Linked DNA regions of Drosophila melanogaster. The protein of the gene in region 1 purifies or fractionates together with the protein of each later gene. This does not show direct contact. Each region holds a gene or a part of one and is shown on either strand. Other genes may lie near its edges.

Region 1 (10,302 bases):
AGCCAGGTGAGACTGCTATCATGATAAATAAACAATAGCAAAAAAAAAAACGTACTAAATATATTTTATCCGCACAGAAAAATCGGACTTTTCGAAAAACAAGCTGCAGCTCATCGAAGATGAACTCGATGATGCCATCAAAAATGTACTTAACAAGGTGGATTTTACGGCTCAGCTGTCCTGGTCAAAAACTATTCTCCAGGCGAAAGCAGACCACTTGGAGCGACAATTCGCACTGGCAGATGTGGAACTCGAAAAAGTTCAGACCACCGCTGACAAAATGCACTGCGCTTTGTATAACTCGTGTCCGGTGGCACACAAACATCTGCCCACCCTGGACATTGAACCCAGTGACTATGTGGTAAGTAAGAAGTGATGCCGTTTGGATCTGATTTAATACAACCATTTACTCAGCATGAAGTTCCACCTCCTGGCGAAATCGTGCGTCCTCCAATACAGTTGGGAGAGACATACTACGCTGTTAAGAACAAGGCTATTGCCAGCTGGGTGTCCATAAAGGTAATCGAGTTTACAGAGAGCACCGCCATCAACGGAAACACGATGAAGAGCTACAAGATTAGGTACCTCAACACTCCGTACCAGATGATCAAGACAGTGACGGCCAAGCACATTGCCTACTTCGAACCACCGCCAGTGCGACTGACCATTGGTTAGTTCCCAATAGACCGGTTATTTATCAATCTATAAACTAACCCACTCATTGTGCACTAGGTACCCGCGTGATTGCGTACTTCGATGGCACCACTTTGTCGCGGGGCAAGGATAAGGGCGTGGTGCAGAGCGCCTTTTATCCAGGCATCATCGCTGAGCCGTTGAAGCAGGCCAATCGCTACCGCTACCTAATATTCTACGACGATGGGTACACTCAGTACGTTCCGCACCGCGATGTCCGTCTAGTTTGCCAGGCTTCCGAGAAAGTGTGGGAGGACGTACACGCCGCATCGCGCGATTTCATACAGAAGTACGTGGAGAAGTACTCCGTGGATCGTCCAATGGTGCAATGCACCCGGGGACAAAGTATGACCACTGAATCGAACGGGACCTGGCTGTACGCGCGCGTCATTGACATCGACTGCAGCTTGGTGTTGATGCAGTTTGAGGGCGACAAAAACCATACGGAGTGGATATACAGGGGTTCATTGCGCTTGGGTCCTGTCTTCAGGGAAACCCAGAACAATATGAACAGTTCAAGCGCACAGCAGCTGCGTGTCCCAAGAGTAAGCATCGTGTCGATTCATCCTGCGGTCCTAACTACAAAATGTCTTTCTTTTTCAGCGCACGGAGCCCTTTATTCGGTACACCAAGGAGATGGAGTCCAGCAGCAAGGTGAACCAGCAGATGCGTGCCTTTGCCCGCAAGAGCAGCGCCTCCGCCCAAAATAACGCATTAGCGGCTGCATCTTCGGCAGCAACCCCAGCCGGAGGACGCACCAATGCAGGAGGTGTCAGCACCAGTAATAGCGCAAGTGCTGTGCGACACCTAAACAACTCGACAATCTACGTGGACGACGAGAACAGGCCCAAGGGCCATGTAGTCTACTTTACAGCCAAGCGGAATCTGCCTCCCAAAATGTACAAGTGCCACGAGTGCAGCCCGAACTGCCTCTTTAAGATCGTTCACCGTCTGGACAGCTACAGTCCGTTAGCGAAGCCTCTGCTTTCTGGCTGGGAACGTCTTGTCATGCGGCAGAAGACCAAGAAGTCTGTGGTATACAAGGGACCTTGTGGCAAAAGCTTGCGCAGCCTGGCCGAAGTTCACAGGTACCTTCGAGCTACTGAAAATGTGTTGAACGTAGACAATTTTGACTTTACGCCCGACCTCAAGTGTCTGGCCGAGTACTCCATTGATCCCTCGATCGTGAAGGACACGGACATTTCAAAGGGGCAGGAGAAGATGGCGATTCCGCTGGTAAACTACTACGACAACACCCTGCCGCCCCCATGCACCTACGCGAAGCAGCGCATCCCTACCGAGGGTGTTCATCTGAATCTGGACGAGGAGTTCCTCTTGTGCTGCGACTGCGAGGACGACTGCTCGGTAAGACGTCTTACAGATCTGATTACCTCAAATTATACCCAGCCGCCCACTATTTTGTGTATCCCTATCAGGACAAGTCAAAGTGCGCCTGTTGGCAGCTAACGGTGGCGGGCGTGCGGTACTGTAACCCGAAGAAACCCATCGAGGAGATAGGCTACCAGTACAAGCGGCTCCACGAGCACGTGCCCACCGGCATCTACGAGTGCAACTCGCGCTGCAAGTGCAAGAAGAATTGCCTGAACCGGGTGGTGCAGTTCTCCCTAGAGATGAAACTGCAGGTGTTCAAGACCTCAAATCGTGGATGGGGCTTGCGCTGCGTTAACGACATCCCCAAGGGTGCTTTCATCTGTATTTACGCCGGCCATCTGCTCACGGAGACGATGGCCAACGAAGGCGGACAGGACGCCGGCGACGAGTATTTCGCGGACTTAGATTACATAGAGGTCGCTGAACAGTTAAAAGAGGGATACGAGTCGGAGGTGGACCACTCGGACCCGGACGCCGAGGAGGACAACGGGGGACCCGATGCCGAGGACGATGACGACTTCCGGCCAAACTATCACTACCAGCGCAAAATCAAGCGCTCTTCCAGAAGCGGCTCCACGCAGAACAGCTCCACTCAGAGCAGCGAGTTGGACTCGCAGGAGCGTGCGGTGATCAACTTTAACCCAAATGCTGATCTGGACGAGACGGTGCGGGAGAACTCGGTGCGGAGGCTTTTCGGCAAGGACGAGGCGCCCTACATCATGGACGCCAAGACAACGGGCAACCTTGGACGCTATTTCAACGTGAGTTGGAAGTTTTTTGTTATTTTGCCGTGTGGCTGATTCTCTTCTTCTCCCGCAGCACTCGTGCAGCCCCAATCTCTTCGTGCAGAACGTGTTCGTGGATACTCACGACCTGCGTTTCCCCTGGGTTGCCTTCTTCTCGGCCGCGCACATCCGCTCCGGCACCGAGCTGACTTGGAACTACAATTACGAGGTGGGCGTGGTGCCCGGCAAGGTGTTGTACTGCCAGTGCGGGGCCCCCAATTGCCGCCTTCGTCTGCTCTAAGTTCTAGCTTAAGTTAGAGATCCATACAGGAAATATACTCATTAAAGAAGAATTAGAATTAAAAATTTAAACTTTAAACATTATCTGTTCCGTTAGGGTAACGGAAACATTGCATTTTTATAAGCTACTGCTGTTCTGCACCGTCCGTTTCAAAGTACACAATTTTCTTCACGTTTAGTGTTAAAGGAATAAATATAGACAAATGAATTTTAAAAAATTATACTTTAAAAAAATAATAATGTTCGTTAATTTAACGGTATTAATTTATGTGGTATTTTAACGCATTTTACCTAGTGGTATACTTAATCATCAGCCGTACGGTATTTTTAATCGTTATCCGAACGGTCACACTATCCACCGAGCAAAAAAGCAAATTTAGGCTTTTTAAAATTCGAGAGTAGCTAAATTAGGGGCCGCAATGCGCCAAGCTCACCTGTAAGTGGCTCCAGCAAGTGTCTCGTCGCAGGTGCACAGGTGCTAGGCAGCAGGACTCCGCCGACGGCTGACTAAGAGCAGCTTATCCGCCCCTTGGGAAGAAAAAATCGATTTTGTGATAACGGGCTTACGCTTACGCGTTTTTGCACTGCTAGTCGGAACCAATTGCCAGTAGACTCCACACCATGAATGTGGACTTTGCGAGGGTGTGCGGGAAGCACATAGGCGTCTACGAGGCCTACTACAAACTGGTAAGCGCACCACGCCTCCAAGCCGCACTGTTACCAGGATGGCGGCCAATGTTGAGCATCCGTATCCACACCCACCCTCTATCGATTTTTGCAGATTGACCCCAAAGGCACAGGGGCAATCGAGGCCATGACTGCGGCCAAGTTTCTCAAGAAGTCGGGCCTTAGCGACGTTGTGCTAAGCAGGATCTGGGACCTGTCTGATCCGAGCGGCAAGGGCTTTCTGGACAAGCCGGGCTTTTTTGTAGCCCTTAAGCTGGTGTCCCTGTCGCAGGCGGGACAGGTGGCCAGCATGGCCAACATCTACCTGGACATTGCCAACCCGCCCAAGTTGGTGAGTAATCGCAACTTCGCCCGAAATGGGCAAGACGAGATATATTACATTAATGTCGCCCCAATCGCCAGGGTGAACTACCAAAAACGATGCCGTCGCGTATTCAGACTGTTCCCGTTGCTAGCGGCGGAGTGGCAAACGGAGACTGGTCCATCGGGGTGATCGATCGGCTCAAGTACGAGCAGCTCTTCGAGTCCCTGCATCCCAGTAATGGAATGCTGCCGGGCAACAAGGTTAAAGGCGTGCTCATGGACTCCAAGCTGCCCATGAGCATACTGGGAACTATATGGGACCTGGCCGACCAGGACAAGGACGGCAACCTGGATATGCACGAATTCGTGGTTGCCATGCACCTGGTCTACCAGACGCTGCAGAAGCGCACCATTCCTAGCGTTCTGCCGCCCGAGCTGCGAAAGCCCGGAGGAGCAGGTCCGCCACCGAAGCCAGCCATGCCACCACCGCCAGCGGGTGCTGCTATGCCACGTGCTCCCAGTGGGGAAGGATTTGGGGACGGCGGATTTGTAGCAAATTTTCCCAAGGATATAGCCCCGCCGGCGGCTATTCCGCCGCTCCCGGTGGCTGTGCCCCCCATGACGCGCATTCCCCCGGTGGGAGCAGTCAGCTCTCAGCCGCTGATTCAGACGGATCCATTGATACCGATTGGGGCTCCGGTGATGGCGAATGCCGACTGGGTTGTCACCCCAGCGGACCTAAAGCGGTTCGAGGAGATCTTCCGGCAATCGGATCTGGATAAGGACGGCCTGGTCTCCGGCCTTGAGGTGAAGGATATTTTCATCAAGTCGGGTATTCCGCAGCGAAGCCTAGCAGACATCTGGTAGTTATTTCGTATATAGATATTGCCAAAATATCTATAACGATGCCTTTCCTTTTAGGGCTCTTTGTGACACCAATCAGTCCGGTAAGCTGACTGTGGAGCAGTTTGCACTGGCCATGTGGTTCGTGGAGCGAAAGCAGCGCGGTGTGGACCCGCCACATGTCCTCAACGCCAATATGGTGCCGCCCTCAATGCGCGCCACTGTGGCTGGAGTCGATCTGCAGCCGCAGGAGGTCAAGCCCACTTACTCAAACCCGGAGCTGGAAATGATCTCCAAGGAGATTGAGGAGTTGGCCCGTGAGCGGCGGGTTCTGGAGACGGAGATTGCCCAAAAGGAAGCGGATGTGCGCATCAAAAACGGCGAAGTGCGCAGTTTGCAGGCGAGTCTTCTGTAACTAGTTTCCAAGTCGAATTTAATAATTCAGAATCTTCACCCACAGAGTGAACTGGATACTCTTACCGCCACACTGAAGCAGCTGGAGAACCAGCGAGGAGAGGCCCAGAAGCGACTGGATGACCTGCAGGCTCAAGTAGTTATTTGCATGATTCTTTGGGTGCTTTTGGCCCCTGCGCCACTGCTTGCCTTTTCCTTGCTCCTGGGCTTACGTTTAATTTTATATTTAAATTCAATCTTTGGTTTCCTTTCTTTATCATGTTCCCCCACCACTTTGTTAACTATTGGCTAAATCCATACTAAACCGGTGAATGCACTTACACTTACAATTACGATCGCATAAGGTTAGCCACAATACGGCCGTGCTGGCCAACGTAAGTCTTGACATATCGCGCACCAACGAGCAGGTTTGTTTCAGTTTCTCATGATTTCTGTATATATTTCTTTTGTGTTTTGTTCTCGGCCATGTAATTTATGTTTTTGACCATCTGTTGTCCGAAATATTTTTATAAAATAGCCTAATTATTGATCGAGAAACCCGCTTGCTTGCAGGTGACCAAGATTCGCGACCAGTGCCACATGCAGGAGGTGACCATCAACGAGCAGGAGGGCGAATTAAACGCAAAACGCTCGGAGCTGCAGAAGCTCAAGGACGAAGAAGCTTCGTTGCAAAAGGAGTACGACAGCAACAATCGGGAGTTATCCAAGCTAACCAACCACCTGCAGGCAACCCAACTGCAAATCAGCTCGGTAAGACTACACATGATACAATCAAGTGATCAGAGATTAACATAAGTCGTCTGAAGGTCCGATCAATGGTCACACAGCTGCTGGAGACGCAGCGACAGATGACCGACGCTTTGCTCATTTGTCGGGCTGCCATGGAGAACCAAAACGCGGAACTCGTATCCGAATACCAGTTGAAGATAGAGCCGGACTTTGATGAGGCGCGCAAGACCCTGACAAAGGAAGTGCAACTGCCCAAGGATGATCCCTTTGAGGAGAACAACAGCGGCGCCGCCAATCAAGCTACCAACGGCTTTGGCAGCGATCCCTTCTCCGGTCAGCCGGTCAACAAGCCGGCTATTTCTACAGGCTTTGATGACAGCTTCAACATGAGCTCAGGCTTCGATAGTGGCTTCGATGCCTTTGGTCAGAGCGGAGCGGGCTCAGCCTTTGGTCAGACCCAGCGGGATCCATTCGGCTCGGATGCCTTTGCAGCCAACAAGAGCAACGCCATTACTCCTGAGGTAGGATTTAGAATAGAACACTCTTATTTGTACCCGAATCACTTTTCCAATCTTATACAGCCCGGCAAGGACGACTTCGGCAGTGATCCGTTTGCTGCCTTGCATGCTCCAACCGGCCAGGGTCAGGTGCTCAGTCCCAACGCCCAGAAGTCCGGACCGCCGCCCAGACCGGAGTCTCCTAGTCCAGCATTGCCGCCAAAGAAGTCCAAGGTGCCGCCCCCACGACCAGCGCCACCACGAGCAGCCCAGGTAAGACGACTCCTTTATGCTGTACAATGGAGAATCCCTAAATTATTATGTTTGCCAGCCCACGGGTGGTTTCGGAAGCGGCGGCGGAGGAGGATTTGCCGACTTTGACGACTTCGACAATAAGGTTGGTACCCCACAATTCAGTGTCCGCTGGGATCGGTGGTAATGCATGCGCCCCGCACCCGAATCCCTGAGTTTTTTTATGTTGCTGGCATTTATTGCCGCGCTAAACCCTGGTTTTAAGTTTATTATCACTAACACTTCCTGAGTTTTGTAGAAATAAAACACTTTGATGCACACTCCAAGAACGTAGCCCTTGAGTATTATGATTTCTGACTTGTTTTGGATTTGTAGCACCTTTTGTTTACCCTTAGTAGAAGGTACTGACGGAACACATTCCACCCAGATCACCTCACCACCCAACCTCGTACATCCCAGTAGCTTTGTCATGCCATGGTCTTCTCGCTTGGTGCCGTATTGAACTAACCGTCTGGTCTTTCATCTCTGCAATTCTCTACTTTCAGTGAACACCTTAAGATAACCCATTCTATATACGACATATACCAGTACTAACACACATACTCAGTTAATGAATGGCCTCCTCTAGCAGCATAACGAACAAATCAATTTGAGCGTACAAAGCTATTTGCAGCAGCATATTAACGTATATATATCAGTCACGGTGCATGGTATAATGTCTAGAGGACGCAGCATTATCGTTCATGCCTAATTAGCTAAATGTACTAAATCAATTCAATCGAAACTCAACCGAACTCAAACCAATTTCAAGCGTTACGTATCGTGTTATAGATGTAGTCTCAAATTAAAACAGACAGCAGGCGGAAGGAATCCCCAGAGTTCCAAGTGTTCGACTCCCTTTGCTGTGCAGTATTGTACTTACCTACTATTATTAATATTATGGATTCCCCTCGAATCGTTTCAAGGCCAGTGTATTATCGCGATTAGGTTTTGAGGGTAGAGACCTCCTCTGTAAGGAATTTATTGCAAGTTGTTTGTTGTTTTTGCATATGCGAATACTAAAGTTTAAAGCAATTATACATCCATAATATACATGTATTACAAGCATTTTACAAACATACAGATATTTATGTAACTGCCGCGAAAGTTCGACTTTTACGGGCGGTCCGCCTCCGGATCCGGACTGCCTATTACTATTTACCGAAACCCTTTTCCACTCAGCTTCTAGAGCCGCTCAGTGTTCCCGGTCTGGAGTGCGTCGCGGTGTAACCAGCAGTTCGGCTTGAAAGGGGGTTGGTCTCCGCTCTACTATATAAACTACTTGTATACATATATATATATATATATTTGCCAGACCTCGATAATCATAGCCACAGACGTACGAACACCCACACCGAAACTAAGAAGCTTCCGAGCATTGATTTAATGAAAATTCATATTCCGTGCATACCACATACATACATACTGCAAGAGCAACTTTTAGAGAAGCCCGGCCTAACCGATACAGAAATGTAACCGACACAACGTTTTGCATTATTAATAAAGATATCTATGTTCGACATCATTCAACGTACGCCTGTCGGAGTTCTCTTGCTGGGGAAACCCAATATCCTCATGGTGCTGGTCACAATCTCACACGAACCACTCAATCCTCCGTGGCTGCTTTAACGCTTTTGTTGACCCTGATTGATTTCGGTTTCCCCTTTGTTGTGTTTTTTTTTTTCGATTTCGCTTAATTTGAATTCGTTTTAATTTATTTTTGTTTCATTCACTTCTATTCCCCCCCCCGACACAACGCATATACGCAGCTCCACCACATTCCAAGCGCACCCTCGCCCTCGGCCACTGCACTGTCCCCGCTCCCACCCACGCTCCCAGCCCCCATTCCGGTCGTCAGTGGATCGTCATTGCTAGACAGCTTCACGCTATTCGACGATCCCGGCCAAATCCACAAGCAGGCGGCAAGCACGCCCAATCCCACGCCCATCACTGTCCCCACCGTACACACCCTGCTCCAGACATCTTTATCCACGCCAGCAGCCCCATCCCCGGCATTGGCTTCTCTATCAACATCAGGATCGGGATCGGTAGCGGGAGCGGGGGCAGACCTCCCCAGTAGCGTCACCATTACCACCGCCCCCAGCTTGAATAACCAGCATCTGTCGCGTTCCAATACACCGCTGCAGAACCAGAGGACGGCGGATGTGAAATTGGAGACCAAGGCGGTAGTCAGTGTGTTTGATGCATTTGGAGAGATTGGAACTCGGAAGGCCCCGACTCCCAGTCTCATTACAGGGCCAACCGACTTCAAGGATGACCCCTTCAAGGATTACCGTTACGAAGATCCATTTAGCATCAAGGATCCTTTTGCCGAAGAGGGCGAGGAGGAGTTGTCAGAAGGCAAGGGTGCTGACCACAAGAGGAACTTTGCGGAGGACTTTAGCTCGGGTGGTGAGTATAGTGCTATTCTCGGGCCTATTCCTATCTAATAAAGTTTTCTATTACACAGATGAGATTGGATCAGCCGCCAAAACTCTGAGTAACATCGTGAACAATAATAGCATTAAGCCCAAGGCGGCCACGCCGCTAAACAACGACCTGCTGCAGCAGTTCGACGCCTTCAACTTGAACTCGAGTCCGGCGCCGTCGCACCACTCAGGCACTTCGTACCACTCCAACTCCAAGCCGAGCCACGACTCGCAGACGGCGCTGGACGCATTCGCTGACTTCGACGACTTCGCAGCTACGCTGGCAACCACTGGTGGATCTGGGGCTGCAACCACGGCCACAACCACTGGCAATACGAAACTCAACAATTCCTTTTTTGATGCATTTAACGACAACTTCAGTGTGATCCAGAGCTCATCAGTACCCACTGGCGTGGTCAGGCCCAACGATCAAAGGGCAAAGGCATTTGACGCCTTCAACGACAATTTCGAGGACCAATTCAAGACAAGCCCCAACGCCAACTTCGCCAAGTTCGATGGCTTCGAGGCACACAACTTCTCGAGTGACTTCGGAAACGCCTCCTTCGGAACGACGGGCAAGGAGAAGCAGAACGGGCAGGTGGACAAGAAGTTTCAGAGCAAGGAGCCGGTCAAGGACAAGTTTGCTGCAGACTATTCCAAGCCGGAGAGCTTCGACGCGGACCTGGAGGAGGCGCTGAAGCGCAGCGTACTGGACAACTAGATTATATGAAAACCTTGGTGGGTTGGATGTGATTGACCCATGAGAAGTTGCAGTGGCACATGCAATGGCTTCTCTATTCGCACCCAATCCGTTCTTTAGTGTTAGTGCTTTCTTTCCGCTTCGATCAAGACATCCTGGAGGCACACACGTACATATGTAGCTTCCATGGTATTTACTCAGTACTCCTCGTGCTCAAGGATCCGGGCGAATAGAGAAGTCCAACAAAGCCGCAGCTGGTATTAAATGCTTCATGCTATATACAACTACATATATATAAT
Region 2 (7,026 bases), on another chromosome or scaffold:
TCACCTCATCCTCCTCGCACTTATACAGTGTCAGTTGCTTCCCCAGTAGATGTTCGATGCGCTGATACAACTCAATGTCGTACTGGCTCACGAGGGTTATGGCTTTGCCGGAGCGACCTGCTCTTGCTGTTCTTCCCACGCGGTGAATGTAGTCTTTGCTGTGCGTTGGTATGTCGAAATTAACGACGACATCCACATGAGGAATGTCCAAGCCGCGGGACGCCACGTCCGTCGAAATGAGTATTGACCGGTTTTTGGCCTTGAATTTGTTTAAAGCAGCTAGTCGCTTGTTTTGCGACATTTGACCGTGCAGCGGAATAGCAGCCAATCCCAACGCACGAAGCATTAACGCTGTCTTAACCGTGTTGTTGCAGGTGCTGCAAAATATCATGAAACTGTTGCCTGCCAGCTCATTAAGGATATGAACCAAATACACATCCTTGTATTTGACAGGGATAAACAAATATGATTGCTGCAGCTGCTCAACCGTCTGATACTTGTTAGACACCTCTACCTTTACGGGATCCTTAAGGGAGGCACGCTGCAGTTTCTTTACTTTCTTGGTCATGGTCGCACTGAACAGAAAGGTTCGTCGTTCACGCGGCAATACCTTCAGAATCTTGTCCAGCTCCACCTCAAAATCCATGTTAAGAATGCGATCCGCCTCGTCCATGACCAAGTATTTAATAGCCTTAAGGTTAAAACCTTTCATGTTTTCTAGATGATCAACCAAGCGACCCGGTGTGGCAATTATAATATGCGGCTTCTTGGCCAGTTGAAGACCCTGGGCTACCATGTCCATGCCGCCGACTACCACGCAACACTTTATGCCAATCCCGCTACCTGAAAAAAACAGAGCTAGCATAAGTTTGGCAGAAGGAAATTCAAGAATACGATAAATGGGAAGGTTTTTTTACTCAGAGGTAGTGACGAATAAGAAAATTATAATTTCATATTTTCGTTGATACACAAAATCAAAACAGGTTTAACATCACTGCGAATTAAAAGCACATAAACTATGCGAAAACTCACCAAGGGCTTCAAACTGCTCGCCAATTTGAAATGCCAGTTCCCTCGTGGGGGTTAGCACGAGGGCAAAATACCGCTGCGGATTCTCGAGAAGGGCGTGTAAAATTGGCAGAGCGAAGGCGCCCGTCTTGCCGGAACCGGTCTCCGCTAGGCCAATTACATCCTTGCCCTGTAAGGCGACCGGAATGGCCTCACGTTGGATCTTCGAAGGCGCCTTCCACTTCAATTCGTCACATGCTTGACACAAAGCCTCATTGAGACCCTTTGAAGAAATATGGCCATTCGATTAAATTTTAATTTAAATTAATAGTGGGGCTCATACGAGATCTTTCCAGGTTAGCTTCTGTTCCTCGGCTGCGTCGTCCTCGGAGCCTTTATCATCTTCACCACTTAGTGCCGCCTCGCTGTCCCCTTCCTTATGATTGTTATCTTCATCTTCCTGCTCCTCCTCGCTACCTAGATCCTCCTCTTCGTCACTCGTTTGTAGCTGCGTCTGTTCGTCCTCTGAAGTTTCCGACATTTTGTTACATGAGTTTCAGAAAAATTTCACGGTACGGACATTACCAATAGCAGCACGTGGTCGAAATAAAAGAATTAGAGGCGGTAAAATAGAAATAGAACTATTTGCGATATTATCGATATAGTTGCGTCTTTAAAACAGTGCAGATTCATGATAACTTTCGATAGCTAATGTGCGATATATCACATGCACACTTAATAAAATTTGTAACTCATTCATACTGAACCATGATCTTAATTACAGGACTTAGTTATAGTGCAAATAGTTTGTTTCGGAAATATATTCACATTTGTATAAAATCGTAATTTGTTAGAAAATTGTTTAATATTGTGATTTTGTCATTTCAGTTAATATAACAATGTTTGAAAATAGATGGTGAATACAAATTTGGTATACATCTTTTTCCATCGCGCAATTTTAAATTAATGAAACGCCAATTAGAGGGTTGTCTGTCATGAACTGTCAACGAATAAAAACTGTTTGACATTTTCATACACAAATGTTATTGATGCTATTATTAACAATTCCGTTAAATCCGGAACAAAAGATTTCTGAATAATTGTCATTTTTAATTGTATAGAAATATTAAAGACAATAAAAGAAAAAAATAGTTGAAATAATTTAACTGACTTGTACTTAACATTTTCTTATAATTTTGGATATTCGAATTTTAATCTTCGATTTTGTTTATTGCGATCTGTTGATGTTTTGGTTAGGTATACATTTTCGTATTGTGTTAAATGCATCATACTGCCGACATAATTTTTATGAGGTTCACTGTAGAAGTAATATAATTAATATATTACTCATAGTCAGTAGTTGTTTCATTTATTTAAAAATCCGTTAGCGGCTAAAAACAAAAACGTTGCAGAATAGTCACATCCAACTTAAGGTCACCGTACTTTTCAACACTTGCTTGCTATAATCACAGAAACAAGCGACGGTCACCCTCCTTCGATTATTAGTCCGTACCTATCGGAGCCTATCGTTCGTCGATATAGGATCCTATCATATAAAATATTGATTAAAATTTACGCAAATACAAAATTTTCTTGTTCCGATGAAAAGTAAGCAACAAAATTACAGTTAAGAGGGATATATAAGAGAATAACGTGTGCGTTGGCGGGGACCATACCACATCATTACTTATCAGTTAATTCGTGGCTATGCGGTTGACAAGTGAAAACGCCTACTAAAGAGAAACTAAAACCTTCAGAAAGCGAGTAAAGGGGGCAATCTATCTTTACAACCTGTCCATTGAGATCGCTTAATATTTTTGGAAATGCTTTATAGGTAAACCATAAAAATCCATTGTGAAAATTTGTGGGGGTGGTGGATACTGAATAGGCGATAGACGTAGTAAAGAGAGCGGCGAAAAGAGTGCGGAGCGAAAGAGTTTGTATTTGATGTGTACTCAAAAGTAGCCGAAGAGAGCGCACTAATACACACGCATACGGAAAAAGGACGATAAAGAGGAAGAGCTTTCCGTGGAAACTAGGATAAAGTGTTTGCCCAAAATGAACTCGGCGGTGGATGCGTGGGCTGTGACCCCGAGGGAGCGTTTGAAGTACCAGGAACAGTTTAGGGCACTCCAGCCGCAGGCAGGATTCGTTACCGGCGCCCAGGCCAAAGGGTTCTTCCTGCAGTCCCAGCTGCCGCCCCTGATCCTGGGCCAAATATGGTATGTATATTACGCCCCCATGAATCATCCACCGATAAGAGTGTTAATTCTTACTCATTTTCTTATCTCCAGGGCTCTGGCGGACACTGATTCCGACGGCAAGATGAACATCAATGAGTTCAGCATAGCCTGCAAGCTTATCAACCTCAAGTTGCGCGGCATGGACGTTCCCAAGGTTCTTCCTCCCAGCCTGCTGTCGTCTCTTACCGGCGATGTCCCCTCGATGACGCCACGTGGCTCCACAAGCTCCTTGAGCCCTTTGGATCCACTCAAGGGAATAGTTCCGGCAGTAGCTCCAGTTGTTCCCGTTGTGGCTCCACCGGTGGCTGTGGCTACTGTCATTTCACCGCCTGGAGTCTCAGTGCCGTCTGGCCCCACACCCCCCACCAGCAATCCACCTAGTCGCCACACGTCTATCTCAGAGCGAGCGCCATCGATCGAGTCTGTGTAAGCATCACTTAGAATCGAATTAATGATTTAATATTATTAATGTAGCAAAGAAGAGATAATTTAATTAATTAAATTTCAAATATTCTTAGTTATTGAAATATTAGCAAAAACATATATATAATATCGTATCTGTTCTTAACTCCTCAATCAACTTCTATCCTTTTAGCAACCAAGGAGAATGGGCCGTTCAAGCTGCCCAAAAGCGTAAATACACGCAGGTGTTCAATGCTAATGATCGCACCCGATCTGGTTACTTAACTGGATCCCAGGCACGCGGCGTTCTCGTACAGAGCAAGTTACCCCAGGTCACGCTGGCCCAAATCTGGACGCTGTCCGACATCGACGGCGATGGACGGCTGAACTGCGACGAGTTTATTCTTGCCATGTTCCTATGCGAGAAGGCCATGGCTGGTGAGAAAATTCCGGTTACCTTGCCCCAGGAATGGGTACCGCCCAACTTGCGCAAAATAAAATCGCGACCGGGATCGGTCTCAGGGGTGGTATCCCGTCCTGGCTCACAGCCGGCCTCCCGACACGCATCTGTTTCATCCCAAAGCGGAGTGGGAGTCGTGGATGCTGACCCAACAGCCGGACTACCTGGACAAAGTAAGTGCTTAATTAACTCCGTTGCCAAACATGTGAATATATTCCATATATTAACACTTGTGATTTCGCGTTCACCAGCTTCCTTCGAAGACAAGCGAAAGGAGAATTATGTTAAGGGTCAAGCAGAGCTGGATCGTAGGCGCAAAATTATGGAGGACCAGCAGCGCAAGGAGCGGGAAGAGAGAGAGCGAAAGGAGCGTGAAGAGGCTGATAAGCGTGAAAAGGCTCGTTTGGAGGCCGAGCGTAAGCAGCAGGAGGAACTAGAGCGACAGCTCCAACGCCAGCGAGAGATTGAGATGGAGAAGGAGGAGCAGCGCAAGAGGGAACTGGAGGCTAAGGAGGCGGCCAGAAAGTAAGGACTTTTATCTTGCTTTGAGCGACAAAACAATGTATACAATTTCTATTGTATCAGGGAGCTTGAGAAGCAGCGCCAGCAGGAATGGGAGCAGGCTAGAATTGCCGAAATGAACGCACAGAAGGAGAGGGAACAAGAACGTGTTCTAAAGCAGAAGGCACACAACACCCAGCTTAATGTGGAGCTCAGCACACTGAATGAAAAAGTAATGTTCTTAAAGTACAACTAATCTATATGGCTGGCCTATCTAACTAACTCGGCTTAATTACAGATCAAGGAGCTTTCGCAGAGGATTTGCGACACTCGTGCCGGCGTGACAAACGTAAAGACCGTTATCGACGGAATGCGCACCCAGCGCGACACTTCCATGTCCGAAATGTCGCAGCTGAAAGCGCGGATTAAGGAACAGAACGCTAAACTGCTTCAGCTCACCCAAGAGAGGGCCAAGTGGGAGGCCAAGAGCAAGGCCAGCGGGGCTGCCTTGGGAGGGGAGAATGCGCAGCAGGAGCAACTGAATGCCGCATTCGCCCACAAGCAGGTGAGCTTTGGCATATACGTAAAGTTTTAGTATTCAACGGATTCTCTAAAATACTATTTACCTTTTTCAACAGTTAATTATTAACCAAATAAAGGATAAAGTCGAGAATATCAGTAAAGAGATTGAGTCAAAGAAGGAGGACATCAACACTAATGATGTACAGATGTCTGAGCTCAAGGCCGAGCTCTCCGCTCTAATCACAAAGTGCGAGGATCTGTACAAGGAATACGATGTGCAGCGCACCTCGGTGCTGGAATTGAAGTACAATCGAAAGAACGAAACTAGTGTATCGTCGGCCTGGGACACAGGCTCTTCCAGTGCTTGGGAGGAGACGGGTACGACTGTCACCGATCCCTACGCAGTTGCGAGCAATGATATCTCCGCACTGGCCGCTCCAGCTGTGGACTTAGGGGGACCGGCCCCAGAAGGATTCGTGAAATATCAAGCAGTATACGAGTTCAACGCACGCAACGCGGAGGAGATTACCTTTGTGCCTGGTGACATTATCCTGGTGCCATTGGAGCAGAACGCCGAGCCGGGATGGTTGGCTGGCGAAATAAATGGCCACACCGGCTGGTTCCCTGAATCCTATGTGGAGAAACTAGAAGTCGGTGAAGTTGCTCCTGTCGCCGCTGTCGAAGCCCCGGTTGATGCTCAAGTGGCCACCGTGGCTGACACCTACAATGACAATATCAATACCAGCTCGATTCCGGCAGCTTCCGCAGATCTGACTGCCGCCGGCGATGTCGAGTATTATATAGCCGCATATCCTTATGAGTCCGCCGAGGAAGGCGATTTGAGCTTCAGTGCCGGTGAGATGGTCATGGTCATCAAGAAGGAGGGTGAGTGGTGGACAGGTACCATTGGTAGCCGCACGGGCATGTTTCCTTCGAACTATGTCCAAAAGGCTGATGTGGGCACAGCGAGCACAGCCGCTGCCGAACCGGTAGAATCTCTTGATCAGGTAAGTGGATAGATAGTACATAATTAAGTAATGTGTGGGGCCATTTGCGTTTTAAATTGATTGGAACTAGAATCAAGAATTATAATATTATTATGTATACAAAATCGTGTACAATTTCATATTAAAAAAAAGTAAGCGACATTATTTATATAAGAGAGAAGTGAATTTAGTTCCCATATAAGAGAATATAAACGCTAAATATACAGGCCAACACTTTATCTTACTTGTAAAGAGTTTACAATCCCGAAGTCTAGAGTCGTGTCTAACCGTTGCCCTCACGTCCATCTACTAATCCAATGCTTTTCATGTGCTGTGCTTTTTGCTACCGTGTTACACTTGCACTGACCCAGGAGACGACGCTAAACGGCAACGCTGCCTACACCGCTGCTCCCGTGGAGGCACAGGAGCAGGTTTACCAGCCGCTGCCTGTTCAGGAGCCCAGCGAGCAGCCGATATCTAGCCCAGGCGTTGGCGCCGAGGAGGCGCACGAAGACCTCGACACTGAAGTTTCCCAGATAAATACACAGTCCAAAACACAGAGCAGCGAGCCTGCCGAGAGCTACAGCCGACCCATGTCACGCACCTCTTCCATGACACCCGTAAATAGTTGACACAGCCCGTTACCACTTCATTTATTGTTTCATTTAATGAACCAACATCTTTTTCGTCATCATTTTGCAGGGAATGCGTGCCAAGCGGTCTGAGATTGCTCAAGTAATCGCGCCCTATGAGGCAACCAGCACGGAACAGCTTTCGCTGACGAGAGGCCAATTAATAATGATCCGTAAAAAGACGGACTCCGGCTGGTGGGAGGGTGAGCTGCAGGCAAAGGGTCGACGGCGGCAGATCGGATGGTTCCCGGCCACTTACGTGAAGGTTCTCC
Region 3 (7,236 bases), on another chromosome or scaffold:
TAAATCTATAAACTCAATTATTCTTTTTCCAGACAATCCCATAATGTGTGACGTGGGATTGAACGAGCTGTGTCGATTGATGGCCGTTCAGGAGGCACGAATTCGTGGTCGATCCCAGTGCTTTGAGAATGACCAGGAGGTGTGCACCGTGCTCCCGATGCTATACAATGTGAACCTGCCCATAATGGTGACCAATCTAAAGTTGACGGGCCGCGAGGTTCCAAAGCCGATGGTTCGGGTGATCGTACCATCGCTGATCAAGGCCAATAATGAGCTATTACCGCCACTTATTGCCACTCTGGGTAATCCAGTGCTCATTAGCACCGATTTGGTCAATCCGGTGATATCGCCACTACCACCACCACTTCTGCTGGCCACCACAACGCCGCCACCGCCTCTGCCACTTCCTGTGGAATCGGAAGTTGAGAAGAATGAGTCTACCACTGCGAATCCAGTGCCAACCAATTACACACAGGAGACCACGACAACCACAAGTACCACAACGACGACAACAACAACGGAGACCAGTAGTCAGGTGGCTCCCATCGAGATTATTACGACTACAGCACCCACGACGACTACCACCAGCACCACAACACCGAAACCCAATGAAACGCTGCCCGTGATTGTGGAACTCCAGGATCCCAATCCACCGGACACTACAGTCAATCAAACTGCCCTCGTTCCGCCAGTGGTTCTAGATCCCCTGCAGCAGGATCTGGAAAGGGAGAGGGAACGCGAAAGGGAGCGAGAACTAGAGCGGGATCTGGACCACGAGGCGGTGGCCAAGACCGAGTACGAGACGGTCGAGTACATCCCCAATCTGGTGCAGCCTCCAGTGGGCAGTGATGCACTGACGCCGCCTCCGAGCAAGGCGAATGCGCTGGAGGAGGACTCCGAGTCGGTGCACTCTAACTCAGTGCACGCGGAGTATCCCCACGCGGCGCAGAGCCTCCAGATTCCCGAGGAACCGCCGGAGGAGTGAGTCCTCCGCCTGGGGGTTTGGCTCCTCGGGGGGAATCCCCCGAAAATAACCACATTATTTTACTGTAAATCGCAGAGGGATGGAGGCGGTGGAATCGATGGAGAGCGGACGGAGCAGCATGCAAACGGCGGAAGGAGCGAGTTTCGGATTTGTATGCCTTAAGTTAACTTAGTTCTTATGTTTTATTTAAGCCATCGCTAAATCGAACAGTTTGTCAGACCAAACGCTTTTTTGTTGAGTTTTTTCGTCGATTTTATGCAAAATTTGATACGATTACTGGGTTTTTGATGTAATCCTGCATTCGGGACAAACGTACGAGGACAGTCTTATGATTTAAGCTTATTTGTTGGGGGCTCAATTTCGCGTATGTGTGCTTTGGCGTTGGCAAGCGGAACTCTTTCGGTTTTCAATTTCACGGAATTTTAAACTATTTGCAGAAAACAATCCAAATATATAAATTATGTATTTTAAAATCTCTTAAATATCTAGAGCTGATACATTGATACATTGAAACACATCGAAATGGGTGATATATTTTCCGCTGGTTTAGTATGATCATAAAAAATAAATTGAAACAAACCGTGAAATTAAAAAACGAAAGCAAGACCGATAGAAACAGGAAGTTGGCGATATCGAATATGCAACTGCATATGCACATTATATATATTTAATAACTGTATACACGTATGAACGTTGAACATCTACAAGTAGGTACTTAGAGTTAAACGACAGCAACAACAAATCGCATCGAGCTAATGTTAATAACGAAAAGCACTCACTCACATACAAACACACAAAACCACACACACACAAACACAGCCGTAGTCGTGCACATGCACAAACTGAAAAAAATACGAATAAAAAAAAACGAGAAAATATATTGTTATCAGTTCGTTAACAAAATGAGAAAATAGATTTTAGCGTGTAATTATACGAAAATGAAAATGGTATTCTAAATAAAATCATAAATAAAAGTCGAGTTTGTTGTTCTCTTCTTAAAGAACTTGGCAATGTTCTTGCCGTTGTTTTTCATAAAATGGTTGAAACGGAAGTGCAAAGTTCCTTTTTTGTTTTTGAAAATGTTCTGTTGGCGCCATTTTGGGTAACCGCTAACGGTAGAGGTGGGAACTAAGATATTCGCAGCTCACAAAAACAAGAATCTAAAAACCAAATGATTATCTAATTTAACAATAAGAAAATATATTTAGAAGAACACAGAATTTTAAATCTTGATGTTGAAAATATCCATGCACAACTGTAAATACTTTAGAGAAGTAAAGTTATCACTTTCACGCAAGCAAATTCACCACAGTTTGGTAAGTTTGAGAATGCAAGTGATATCGATAGGTGATTTGTCACAGCTATCGATATCATCGAGTATCATGTTTAAAAATCGGGATGACAACTCAAAAATATCGGCGTTACATTTAAATTACTATGTAAACAACTTGTAGATAATTTTAACATTCTACTAATTAAAAGCTTAAATATTTATTGTACATATAGAAAAATAAAAAGAACGACGGTAGTTGATGGTCAAAGATAAATTGTTATTCCTTTATAAATTTTACATACCAAAAGCAAATGAATATAATTAAATAACAGGAATAATTTTGCTCTTCTGTGAGCTAGTATTTTTAAAATACTTATACTCCAAACTGATAAGAACCGATAGGTTCAGGAATAAATCGATATCGCGATATTTCGAGTGCCCATCAATTCTGGTCCACCACTAGTGCAAAGCGAAAAGCAGAGAAAGAAATAATAATTCGTGTTTTGTGCGCAGAGTGCAAAGGGTAAATAAGTTGCAATATCATCGCAATCGCAGTCGAGAGCCCTATAAACCCGATAGAGTGCCAGGATTTTTGGATATCCATATCGTGCGCGCAGCTATACTATTTTCCCCCTTTGTTGACGTCGCATTGTCGTCATCGTCATCTTGTGACCGTGTCTATTCGAGTCCGAAAAAAGAAAGAAAAGAAAGTCGTAAAATATAGAAAAGAAAACTAGTTGGGGAGGAGGAGTCGCACACACAGACACACACATACACAGCCGAGCGGAGCCCCCACACGCACACACACACAACCAAAGGCGAACTGCAGTGAAGCAACAAAACCAACAATAACAGAAACATTGCAGGTGAGCGAAAGAGTAAGTGGGAGGGGGCCACAAACATATTTCTGTCTCTCTTTCTCTTTGGGGCTTCTTTTTCTTAAATAATAATTTTCCGTAATTATAGATCCCCCTTGTCTAAACGTAATTCCCCGCTAACCGTTTTTTACAACATATGCTTATTGATAGCGCTTCTTTGGCTTTTGTTTTTTGTTGTTTTTTTTTTTATTTGATAACTGCCGTTAGCCGGTCGAGTGATTAGTCATAGTGGATCCAGGGTTGCCAGGGGCGTGGGTGGAAACGGGTTTATGTTTGCGAGGGGGGGCGGATGAGTAATGAATGAAGTTTCGCACATTCGTGTGCCCCCCAATCAGTGCGTCCGTGTGCGTATACGTGTGTGTGTAGGTGCGAGTAGTTCTAGTGTCACAAATGAAATCTAATCGCATTTCTGGCTCGTTATCATACGCACACAGCCACAGAAAGCACCCATGTAGCCATTAATATATTATATACAAATGATACCTAATATACGCCCGCATTTACAACAGATGCAGCAACATTGGAAAATGCAACAGTGCCAGCGGTATGGAGGAGGTGATGGGGGACGCCGAGGCGGATCGAGGAGGGGCCCGGCGATCGTGTGGCACAGTGGGCAGCATCAGCGAGCGAGCAGTGACCTTCGTCACCAGCGGCTAGCCCTTTCCACCTGTTTGAGGTGCTAATAGAAAAACATCTCAAGATAACCATAAACCAAAAGCAAACATTTCATTTGCGAAAGTAACGTAGATACCAGATAAGCAGATGTTTAACACAGACATTTTATTATTATTATGGTCTTTCGTTGTACAATCTTCAATGTTTGTTTGCAGTATTCTCTCCTTAAGTCGAAACAACCAAAATTATAATTTCCAATCCTCAGATCTTTGCGAATTCAATTCAATTTTTAAATATGTATTAAATTTTTAAGTTTTGTTAATCCCAAGATTGTAAGAGAATTGAGTTCAATCTGCAGGGTTTAAATAGAAAAGCTTTCTCGTTGTTTAATGATGAGATAAAAAGTATGTATTTAGGAATCATAGATTGTGGGGCTACTGACGGGCTTTCATCAATATTTTTCATCTTAGCGGAAACATGCTAAACGTCTGACAATAGTGCACGTCAAATAGCCTCGTGAATGTGGAATATTTTGCTCGCATTTAATTGCGTTTGGATATAACGAGAGTGATCGCAGACTGATCAGTACCACCGCGCATATCAATCGGCGAACAACGCACACGCTGCAGCTCCCCATTTCGAGTTTAGTTCGGTGTTTGGAGCGTTTGGGGAGCTTTTTCCGTCTCTTAGCTATACGAGTGTATACGTTCATTGAACCGCTGGCTGGCGTCAAGGCTCGCAGCCTTTGGAACAAAGTGATTCGCAACTCGTTGGGCATTCTGTTTGTTTTGATACCAACACAAGCGCAGCTGTATATTTTTTTGGCAATAAAACGAAGCGGTGACGTTTTGCCGAAAGTCAAGTGCACAGAAACACAAAGAAAGCTTCGTCATTGCCTCTGTCTGGCATTCAATTTGCTCAAGTTCAGACCACCACCACAACAAAAACAGACCGTCACCATCACCACCACCCACTTTTACTTGACTCTTGCACTTCATTTGCGTAGTGTTTTTTGTTTCGCCCGTCTTATACTGCGCGACATTTAATTAAATTATTTCGCCTTCCATTGGCCAAATGAAAACAAACAAACGAGGCAGACAAACGGCCCTTTTTCGCAGTGGATCGTTACTACGATCATCGGTCAATGAATTTCACTGCCCATTTACGAGTATGAGTATTCCCCCCTCATACCAATATTAACTCGATTTCTCGCATAGCTCGAATGCCTGCGGAACGGGTTTATCTGTGAGATACAGTTTTGAGGCGGGTTCTCGATGGAGTTTCCCCACAGCCGGCTCTTCTCGATATGTGTCAAGTGCGTTGTTTACACGAAAAATAAACAAAAATAAATGCAGACCCGTCGGACCGCATAAAGAACGGTGGTTATATCAGAAACTACAGCGATTCTTCAGCTACAAACTGGTTAATAAACGCCACTTAACTTAGCAGTATTTCTGAGATTTTGCTGGGGCCAGCTGGGGTTAATTGCTATCTTAACTGCCGAAAAGACAAAAATATCTTAACAAGCCTCATTATGTTATATGTTGTTATAAAAGTATTGCCCTTATTAATTGTTTTTAAAGTGATATCTAATCAAATTACTATATCTCGAAACAAGAAAGTGGTATATATTTGGATTTCTTAGTCTTATCGATAGCCTAATAAAATTTGGTATTCGCTTATCAAGAATATGTTTGCCTCTTTTATTTATTGCTCGATTATATTATTTTCAATAAATTTATCAACAATATAAAGTGTTTATAGTGAATATAGTAACACACGTACTTTGCGTTTTATCTACTTTTTTCCAAACAAAGCCGTAAAACGCGTGGTCTTACTTTGTACACATGCACGTAATTATCTTATGCTTAATCAGCTATAAATATATATGTACATATATTTGAAATTCTTAATGGTCGAGAACCACATTACTCTAAATTCTTCTCAAAGAACTTTCTTCGCTTTTGCAACAAAATCGATAACAATTTGATTAGCATTCTTCGCATTTAAAAATAGATGGAACCGCGCAAAGAGGGCGGTGGAAAATCAATTCATTTGCTATGAATTCTCGCTGTGCTTGTGGGTCGCCATTTAATGCATAATGCAGTTTGGTCTGAAAATTTGCATATCCAGACATAGTCGTAGACGTTTGTCTGTCCACTTTCTGATTCTTGAGCCCAGGCTATTTGCACTTTTGCGGCTTCTTGTTTCGGTCTGCCATGGGTTAAGTTCAAGCAGAGTCTCTATGAGTTAAATGAGATTGATTGGTAATACTCAAAGAGTTTGCTGCAAAAATAATATTCTTGTAAATATAAAATTCTATATATGGTTAATGGTTAAAATTCAATTGATTACAAGCACTTTCGCTGGCAAATAAATGTGACATTAATTGCTCATTTTGCTCAGTTTGTAAAAAATTATATCTTCATTTAGTTTTGTGCTGTGTATTCCCTAGTCGACTTTGAAATGTCAAGGGAAATACTCTTTTGCCATGTTTTGTTTTATTTTTTTGCCATGCTTTTCCTTTCCGTTTGCTTTTTGTTTGCCCGCAAATTGAATTATTTCTTCTAGAGGCTTTCGGGCTGGATGTATCTAGTATTGTAAAGTCTGGTGCGGTTTTTAAAGCAGCGCTTTAAAATCTCAGGGTTTCGTATCTCAAGTTTGGTTTCAACATATGCTTTCACTCTTTTTGTTTGGTGCACTTGAGTTTGGCGATTACTTTATCTATTAATTTGTGTGTTTTGCACCGATGCAACAACAGACACAACCGACATTTGACTCTATATAAATATGTATATCCGTATGTGTACTCTCTTACTATGTATTTTGATTGTATTTATCTTGTATCTCATATATAGCTTGCTTTGGAGCACTTAAACAGCAATAAACATAAACCAAAACGAATTTAAAAACAAAAAGAGCAAAAAAGTCTAAAGCCTATTCAAGCAAAAGTCCAAAGTTTCTGTATAGCAAATAAAAAAAAAAAACCAAGTCAAACGCAAAAACAAACGAAAAGTAAGTCTGAATGTCAATTCATCTCATATAACTTCAATTTCTTTTCCACAAAAAAAAAAAAACCGCCAATTATAAATGGGACATACTGAAAATATTCGATCTGATTTGATTTGAAACTAAAGTTTCAACTCTCACCACACCGAGCCGCAACACAGAGCAGCAAAACTCACCAAAAAGATCACGTAACACATTCCACATACGTTCCACACCAACTGGTACCGACTCATCTTCACCGTTTTTCTTTGTTTTTGTTCAGATTTTGTAGCCCGAAACACACTTAACACTTTAGATTTGAAAACATTTCAAAAAACCTCACAGAAACTGTCAAAAAGAAAGCCTAAATCCCAAATTTACCACACACTGATTCGCATTAACATCAAAGCGGGACTCTTCGATAGCAAGACTAAACCTAAGATCTAATAACCCTTTTCACAATCCAACCAAAAAACCCCCTATCCTACTAAACGGGT

The links. The genes of interacting proteins can lie anywhere in the genome.
Region 2: the proteins of Eps-15 (region 1) and Dap160 purify together in Drosophila melanogaster (affinity purification with western blotting; 2 studies listed by BioGRID, with this or other methods). This does not show direct contact.
Region 3: the proteins of Eps-15 (region 1) and lqf purify together in Drosophila melanogaster (affinity purification with western blotting, with the first as the bait; 2 studies listed by BioGRID). This does not show direct contact.

What each region holds. Positions count from the first base shown.
Region 1 is NT_033778.4:24,768,403-24,778,704, reverse strand, and holds the start of Eps-15 (epidermal growth factor receptor pathway substrate clone 15), read left to right. Parts: upstream 1-3,439; 5' UTR 3,440-3,731; coding exon 3,732-3,797; intron 3,798-3,891; coding exon 3,892-4,128; intron 4,129-4,199; coding exon 4,200-4,963; intron 4,964-5,021; coding exon 5,022-5,343; intron 5,344-5,403; coding exon 5,404-5,493; intron 5,494-5,701; coding exon 5,702-5,764; intron 5,765-5,909; coding exon 5,910-6,107; intron 6,108-6,163; coding exon 6,164-6,607; intron 6,608-6,667; coding exon 6,668-6,856; intron 6,857-6,914; coding exon 6,915-6,980; intron 6,981-7,380; coding exon of another isoform or gene 7,381-7,383; exon of another isoform or gene 7,384-8,407; intron 8,408-8,643; coding exon 8,644-9,286; intron 9,287-9,344; coding exon 9,345-10,024; 3' UTR 10,025-10,302. Other genes in the region: egg (eggless), read left to right, coding at 1-6, 78-361, 415-670, 733-1,238, 1,297-2,058, 2,130-2,846, 2,905-3,111.
Region 2 is NT_033779.5:21,137,829-21,144,854, reverse strand, and holds the start of Dap160 (dynamin associated protein 160), read left to right. Parts: upstream 1-2,507; 5' UTR 2,508-2,616; intron 2,617-2,842; 5' UTR 2,843-3,066; coding exon 3,067-3,230; intron 3,231-3,302; coding exon 3,303-3,677; intron 3,678-3,846; coding exon 3,847-4,286; intron 4,287-4,364; coding exon of another isoform or gene 4,365-4,376; coding exon 4,377-4,638; intron 4,639-4,698; coding exon 4,699-4,846; intron 4,847-4,912; coding exon 4,913-5,179; intron 5,180-5,252; coding exon 5,253-6,143; intron 6,144-6,493; coding exon 6,494-6,742; intron 6,743-6,824; coding exon 6,825-7,026. Other genes in the region: pths (porthos), read right to left, coding at 1-843, 1,033-1,291, 1,352-1,549.
Region 3 is NT_037436.4:7,526,063-7,533,298, forward strand, and holds the start of lqf (liquid facets), read left to right. Parts: upstream 1-2,717; 5' UTR 2,718-3,124; exon of another isoform or gene 3,125-3,136; intron 3,137-6,366; exon of another isoform or gene 6,367-6,551; intron 6,552-6,609; 5' UTR 6,610-6,765; coding exon 6,766-6,766; intron 6,767-7,063; exon of another isoform or gene 7,064-7,236. Other genes in the region: ltl (larval translucida), read left to right, coding at 33-985.